Linked DNA regions of Solanum lycopersicum. The protein of the gene in region 1 interacts with the protein of each later gene in a pairwise test. Links are inferred from orthologs where the notes say so. Each region holds a gene or a part of one and is shown on either strand. Other genes may lie near its edges. The genes, in order: protein SCAR2 and guanine nucleotide exchange factor SPIKE 1.

Evidence for each region.
Region 2: the proteins of protein SCAR2 (region 1) and guanine nucleotide exchange factor SPIKE 1 interact in binary tests that used the Arabidopsis thaliana proteins (3 or more experiments, as listed by UniProt). The link is inferred for Solanum lycopersicum from reciprocal best matches to the Arabidopsis thaliana genes SCAR2 and SPK1.

What each region holds. Positions count from the first base shown.
Region 1 is NC_090808.1:7,930,987-7,935,566, reverse strand, and holds the start of protein SCAR2, read right to left. Parts: upstream 2,959-4,580; 5' UTR 2,727-2,958; coding exon 2,572-2,726; intron 1,262-2,571; coding exon 1,098-1,261; intron 699-1,097; coding exon 575-698; intron 488-574; coding exon 358-487; intron 1-357.
Region 2 is NC_090807.1:7,355,568-7,359,394, forward strand, and holds part of guanine nucleotide exchange factor SPIKE 1, read right to left. Parts: intron 499-3,827; coding exon 336-498; intron 1-335. UniProt on the Arabidopsis thaliana protein: Guanine nucleotide exchange factor (GEF) for Rho and Rac. GEF proteins activate small GTPases by exchanging bound GDP for free GTP. Controls actin polymerization via the two heteromeric complexes WAVE and actin-related protein (ARP) 2/3.

The DNA.
Region 1 (4,580 bases):
TTAAGGGGCAAGATCAGTTTGCTCCTTTTTCCCTTACACTTTTCTGGATCAAGATGGAGATATGAGGGGATGGTTTCAGAAAGCTTCAAGATGGAGATAGACAGAGACTCAAGCACATAAGCACATGTTACCATATAAAGAAATAAATGTTCAAGTAATTGGAAGAAAGTATCAAGAACTTATCATAGTACCACTAATAACCTTCCCCAATTGTAGCCCGAAGAAAAAGGAAAAAATGTCATCTCAAATATGAAGCCATTAAAAAACCACTAAATCAACATGTCACTCATATAAATTCCAAAGTAAACCAAAAGGTAGCAGAGAAACAAGAGTAATAGTTTCTCTTCTTTTAATTACCTTTGTCTTGCGAGTTTTCTTTTCCCTCTGAACATCTGAAGTTGTGAATGCATAAGAGGATGTCTCGACTTTAAAGGATGAAGGGTCTGTATAACGTTTCAGACATGCTCCAGCTCCAGCAACATCAAACCTGTTACAATACCATTAAGTTTGACAAACGCTGTTCTAACAAAGTTTAACACTCTATGCAACTAAAGCTGTCAAAAACAGAGCATACTTGTCTAGCAGAAACAAGCGAGGTGGACCTCTGCATTCTTCATATGAATCCATCACAAATCGAGGTAAATCTCCCCTTGTAACCATATTTTGGTCGATTCGCAGATTAGGATGCCAATCAGTACCTGAAATAACATTTGTATTACGAACACTTTCACTAATAGGTTATTACGAACACTTTCACTAATAGGTTATATCGGAACTCAATAAATTGCTTAAATACTAATATCCATTTTTTTCAGATGCAGAAACACTAATATTCATACACACCACATTCTATGTTCAGGAAAATAAAAAACAAATATTCCTTTCTATGCTCTCTCTTCCTCTCTCTTTCTCTCTCTCTGCACACACACACATGCACCACAAACATGTATAAAACAGTTAGGAAGGACAGTTATCTTTTGGTACAGAATTAAGAAGAAGCAAGAAGAGTTTATCAAAGTGCGCGAAAAAAGCAAGTATACTAAGTTGTCCAGAATTTGTATGGTGTTATTGGCCAATGAAATACTCTTAGCACTTACCAGCATTATAGAAGAAAGAAGAGTGATCGGTCTGTGAGAGGAATGCGCTCTCAATCAAAGGAAAATCAGCTTCAAGCTGCTTGACCCTGACCGTTAGACTATGACCTCTTGCAGCAGTTGCCATCACTTCTTCATGCAAGTCATGGAATATCTCAGAAGCAAACCTTCAATTTTACAATAAAAAAGAAAACCAACATTTTAGTCGCTACCACAATTAAACAGAACAACTGTAGTACATTCTTTACAAAATAAAGTGATCAGGAATCACTTACAGGGAGAGTGTATAAGCAAAGAGACCCATATTTGGCACCACATTTTAATGATACTACCAAATTTTTATGCCTTACAATTAATTGATCAGCAACTCAATAGATTAAGCTCTACATACTCTGAACATTTTTTAACAAGCATACAACAACAACATACCCAGTTAAATGTACAAGTGAGGTTTGGGAAGGTTAAATCATAAACGTATGCAGACCATACCACTACCTCATGGAAGTAGAGAGGTCGTTTACAAAAGACCATTGGCTCAAATGCAACAAATCCAGATACAAAGAAGAAAGAGACAATGAAAAGAATATAGCAGGTAACAAGGAAACAATGCAAAGTCTACCAAAAAGGAGCCAAAAAAAACAATTAAGTAATGTGATAACCGAAACACAATAAATAACATACTAGGATAGATTGCAAACTACAATAAACAATGATAAAAATTTTTAAAAAAAACAAGAACTACAATAATATAACTAGTATCATGGCAAACATCAGTCATCCTAAGCAATACAACAGTAAACTCTACTCACCTTCAGCCCTAATAGATGTCCTCCACACCCTCCTTTCTAAGGTCATATCCTTGGTAACCTAAAGCTACAGCATATCTTGTCTTATCACATTTCCCAAATACTTCTTCCCTCTCTTCATACCCTCTATTTACACCTCTTCACTGGGGCATCTACACGTCTCCTCTTCGTAAGTCCAAACCATCTCAATTCCCTCATCTTCTAAGAAGCATAATCTAGATTAAAATAATAAAAAAAACAGGAACTCCGTATGAATTTACCCAGAACAGAACTACTTGTAAATGCTTAATCAAACAGCCGAAAAAAGCAACAAATAAAAAAAAGTAGTCACATTATACAAATGCAATAATTGTCAAAAAAAACAACAAAAAGAAAATCTACAATGCAATCAAATAACATTTCAAATAATGGACTCACAAATTCAACTTTCCATTTTCAATAACTACAAAGCATCTTCCAACTACCAAATTTCAACAGATTTCAATACTGATTATCTCAACTCGCATATTTAACTATATCGATCCAAAATTACGAAAATAAAGGTGGATTGAAACATAAAAATCCAGAAAGCATTCACTTGTAAAACGACAAAATTCTAAAATCAGCCAATTGAAAACGAAAAACGCATCAGATAAAATAAAAGCAAGAAAAACAAAAAAGGAGATACTGACTCGGCGAGGTCACCAAGCTGACGCAAAACACCAACAAGTCCAGCCATGGCAACGCCTTCAAGTAGAGCTTCTGGATCATCTTTATCAGCAGCTTTGTACAGTTCCGGATCAGCCAAACTGTACTCGTTCCGAATCTGATACCTATTCACAGGCATTTTCAACAAAATCTAAACCCTAATTCATCAAACGTTCTCTTCAGAATATCAACATTACATTTTTGCCATTGAATTCATGCACATGGAGTATCAATGGAGTCTCTGTAAAGCTGTATCTTCGTTGGTAATTGTAGCTATAGAGAGAGAAAGAGTTGAGGCGAATGTGAATGTACAGTTGAAAGAAGAGGTGAGGACTCAACAGAGAAGAGGGTCGGTTGACTATATTAAATACTCGTTTCTACTGCTCTTTTATCTTATATATTGTTCATTATTCAATTTGTATAACATATTTTTTAGATGGTTATAATATTGAAATATAAATATCGAGTAAATTAATTGATTTCAATTTTAAAATAACAAATAAAAATTTCTTAACTGATAAAGTAAGTTGATATACCTGTAATTTCATAATTATTGTTATATAAATATTTAATCTTAACAACTTATATCATCAATTAAATTACTGAAGTTGAAATTAAAGTAACTAATATTATTATAAAAATAATCAATTACCATTATTAGGAATCACAAATTTTAAACTTTTTAATTTATAATTATATATAAATATTTTATCTTAAATTTTTTAGTTTGAATCATTATTTAAATTGTTGAATAAAAGTGAATTTATACCACTATAGTTAAAATAATTTAGAGAAAATCAAAACAATCAATTATATTAAATTAAAGAAAATGTATTCTTTCAATACACATGTGATAGTGATAAACTGAAACTACACGTTAGCCAGTGGAGAAGCTTTTGCTTGAAAATTATACGATTTAGTTATATTAAAATTTTAATCATATATGAATATTATATATATTTAGTGGAGTATTATTTAAAATTTTATTTTCAACAAAAGTAAGAGATTTGGTTCGAATTCACCAAATCTGGTGCAAGCTATTAGATAAAAGCACAAACTTTACCTATAAAAATTACAATTTTCATGATAAAAATTACCTATGAACTTTTTTTTTGGTTACTGATTGTAGATGAAAGTTTCAACTACTATTCAGTTTAATTTTAATATATCTGGTTGGAGACTTAAAATGTTTGTTTCACTAATTATATTTTTTTAAATGGTGTTAATAATTTAATTCATATTTTATACTTGTGTGTATATTTTTAAATATAACCTGGGAATTTTCGGAAAGACTCAGACAAATAAAATACGGTGGACAAACGCGGCTGAGCTTGTCATGCCTTTCATTGTGGGCCTCCTTAATTCTATACTTCTTCTTCTGTCCGCTTTTAATTATTATGTCATATATTATAAAGTTAATTTATAATTTTTATAATTAATAAGATTAAATAAATTTATATTTTAAATAAAAATATATATATTCAGAAATTATATAAAAAATAATACAAATTATAATTTTTATATATATTAATATGACTTAAAAATATATTATAAAATATTAATAAAATGATTTATAAATTAACTCTTGAAAAAAAAACTATAACAATTATAAATACACGGTGAGACAGTGAGAGCACTTGTATTGGATCCTGCACCTATTCACATTGTATAATAATAATTTATTTATTTTGGTGTATATTTCGTAGCGTATGAATCCACCCAAATTTAAAGCCTCGTCTGAACCTTTTTTTTTCTTTTCCTTTTTTTACCAACAAAAAGTTATCGTAAAATTTCTATAAATTAATAATTTTTTAAAAGTGTAAATATATTTAAGATAATTTAGTGAAATATAATTTTATTTGTATTTTGTTATTTTCTAAAATTTAATACCAGTTGAAGTTTATCTCTAAATTTTCTTATTGCATCCAAAAGTTCTATTGTTGTTCTTTTGAATTGAACCATAAAATTATGAAGAGTTCTAGATTCTATAAGT
Region 2 (3,827 bases), on another chromosome or scaffold:
ATAGTATGCAGAAAAGGACTAGCAGAAAATTCTACACCTATTGCACCACTAAGATGTTTAATTTGGAAGAGATGAGTAGAAGAGCTTCAGAATTTATGGTATCGTCAGGTTCTTTAAGAGTGGATAAATGAAGAGCATTGAAGATGTCCTGCTGGAAAAAAGAGTTGCATAGACGCACATGAAATGTGAAACTTCTCCATTCAAATCGGCACCCTTTCACAAAATGTTCAACACAATCTACTCAGGGATACACAGAGACATATCAGAATATCAGTGACGCCTAACCCATAATTTTCACGTACACAGAGAAGAGGTGTCCTAGTAGGGTATCTCACCTGTTTCAATATCAGTATCAGGACCCTCATATATTTGACTCTGAAATGAAGTCGGGCTGACGCTTTCATAGTGACCATACTTGTTCTCATCTTTTACCCAGTCAGTTCTGTAGCATTGCACAAGTTCATTTAAATGTGGCCACTGCTCCAAATTTTCATCAAGCTGCAATTAAAAGGAAAGAATAATGAGAGCATGACAATAGGACAAAGGAATTTATCAAGTGGTGATTCAGAGTGAAATGGTTTACCAGACAGATAATTTTTGAATAAATTGTCAATATAATATTTAATATCAAAGTGGGTACAGACATTATCTGCCTACACATTCTATCAACAATCCAAAAGAATCATACATAAATTGCATGACACAGCTATAAAAAAAAAAGAATACTTGATCAAGTTAGTAGCATAAACTGTGAATTGTAAATTCTGCGTAGGGTTTATGAAGGATGGCTTTCAAGCACTTAATAAGGAATATGTACATGTGCTATGCTACCCAAGTTAAACTGAGATTTAGCACCAAAAATACAGTGAATGTAACCTTTTTCTGACATATGAAAGATCGAAAGGAAAATCCTACCATAACATGCATTTCCATACAAAATATATTTTTTTTGAGAAAGTTAACATTTTATAGACAGAATACACCAATATTGTATTTTAGTAGTAGTTACATCTGGAGTTTACAGTAAGCAAAACCAAAGAAATCTGCCACCTATCCCTCTTAAACTATCTAGAAACTGAGTAATATCCTCCACCTTTTTGCGGAGTACATAGTTACACCCAAAAAAAAAAAGTTATAAGACAATTCAACTTCAGACTTTGGAAAGGGATGCCCTTATTTTCAAAACATCTTTGGTTCCTTTCCCTCCATATTGTCCACCAGATGCAAACAGGGAGAATCTTCTCTCTCTTTGTGGCCGGACATATTTCCTTCTCTACTCCAGTACGTTAAAACTTCGGAGGTATGCCTTGGCATGGACCAACTGATACCCCTTAAGTTAAAAAACACCTTCCACCATTTTCTGTCACTCTACAATGGATGAAGAGATGGTTTATTGTCTCTATTTCTCTTTCATAGAAAAAACACCTGGAACATAATTGTCCTTCCTTTTTCATTAGATTGTCCTGAGTTAGTACTACTTGTCTGGCTACTAACCAGGTGAAACAAGCCACCTTGTGAGGTACTTTAACTTTCCATATCATCTTCCAAGGCCATGGTAAGAGCATTGCAGCTGGCCGCTGATTTTACTGTGAATTCCCGTTATTGGCCCTCAACCAGTATATAGATTATCTTCATTGGGTTGAAAGTTGATGGCCTGCTCTAGAGTATTGTAGAAATCTGTTAGGCTGTCAATCTCCCAATCATTAAACGTAAAACATTCTCCTGAAAGAGAGGTTCCATCTTTGGCTGTCCGGCTGTCCCTGACCTCTGCTACTGTTGCCTCCTTCTGTTGGTTCAAATTATAGATCACCGGGTACAACTGTTTTAAGGGATATTGACCAACCCACACATCATTCCAAAATGATGTCCTCCTTCCATTACCTATTATAATTCTTGAGTTTCCCCACATTTTAGGCCACTGATTCCTGATTGTTCTCCATAGACCTACCCCATAAGGGCTTCTAACTTGCTTAGTGATCCATAAGCCTTCCATTGTGTATCTGGAAACTATTGCATCTTCCACAAGCCTACCTTGTTCTCCTGAGAGAAACTTCCGTAGCCACTTCAATAAGAGACTTCGATTCTGTACTTTTGAGGTTCTTTATGCCCATTCCCCCTTCCTTTTTACTGTTGGTCAATTCTACTATGGAAAATTGACGATGATGTCACACATCATATTGGTGCGGGTGGATAAAATGGAGGCCCACATCAGGAGTCTTGTGTGATAGAATGTGCCACAAAAACTAAAAGGTAAGTTCTACAAAAAGATAGTTATACAAGCTATGTTATATGGGGCAGAGACTTGGCCTATCAAGAACTCTCATGTTCGGAAAGATGAATGTTGTGGAAATGAGGATGCAGAGATGGATATGTGGACATACTAGGAGACATAAGATTAAAAACAAAGATGTTCGGGACAGGGTGGGAGCAAACCCCATGATGGACCAAATGAGGGAAGTGAAGCTGAAATGGCTAGGGCATGTGAGAAGGAGATGTGCATATGCCCCAGTAACAGGTGTGAGGGGTTGACAATGGCAGATTTAAGGAGGGGTAGAGGGAGGCTGAAAAAGTATTTAGGAGAGGTGATTAGAGAGACCAGGATGTCATCTTCAGTTTATCGAGGACATCACATTAGCTATAGGATATGAAGGTTGTGAGAAATATTATTGAATTGTGTACCTACATTATTACACTAAGACACTACATGACACCTTCTCCAAGTAGGATACTATATACAAAGCATACTCTTATTTCTATTTTAACATCCCCCCTCAAGTGGGTGCATAGAAGTCATATCGACCGAGCTTGCTACAAATGTAATTAGCAGTGATGGACTTGCTGAAAATATCTACAGACAGATCACTCAACTTCACAAATTTTGCAATAATATCTCATAAGAGTATCTTTTCTTTGACAAAGTAACAGTTAATCTCAATGTGCTTAGTCATCTCATGAAATACCGAATTTGATGCAATGTGAAGGACCACTTGGTTATCACATACAAGTTCCATCTAGCCGGCTTTTTTACAGTTGAAAGAGTTGAGACGGGTAGTAGGATGACAAAAGAGGTACATGGCAAAAGAAGGACAAAGGTGTCAATTAAGAGTACACTTGCAAACATCCTTACATACTTCACTTTCATTGTTTCACAATTTGGTCAGCGTACTAGGTATTAAATTGGAACTGTATAAGAGGAATTTCCAATAACATTCAACAGATTTGGCTAGGAAGTTCCACTTAATCCGTCAAGAATAGATAAAGTCCCCAAAGAATTGAAATAACTGGTTAGGGAGAAAGACCTCTAACTTACAACAAGGCCGTATTAAGAAATGCTAATGGAGATTCAAGCTTCAAGATTGAAAAATATGTCAAGGAATTTTTAAGAAAAAGGTATGAAATTTGTGTCGGGTAGGCTGCCTACACAACACCCAATTGGGATGCGGCCCTTTCAAGGACCCTGTATGAACACACAAAAGCACTGGATCGCCCCCGCCCGCTTGCTAGTTTACCTTAGTATGACAATAAACACAAATGAAACTAAAACCTTGTTAGAAAAATTCTTAGATATAGTAGTCAAAATACACTTGTAGCCCTATTCACGACCATTCTATGAATTCAAATGTTCTGTTGCTTCCTTCCTTAAACAGTCTCTAGCACAAATATCTTATGTTTGAATTTTGAGTACTAAGTAGCATTTTCATCCCTATATTCCTTTTGTCTACACATCAGCTTTCTCTAGTATCCCCACCACTCTCAAAATATTGAGGACTCATTCTATCTCTTCTCAATGTGATTCATCTTTGAATTTATGACCCTACTCAAACATA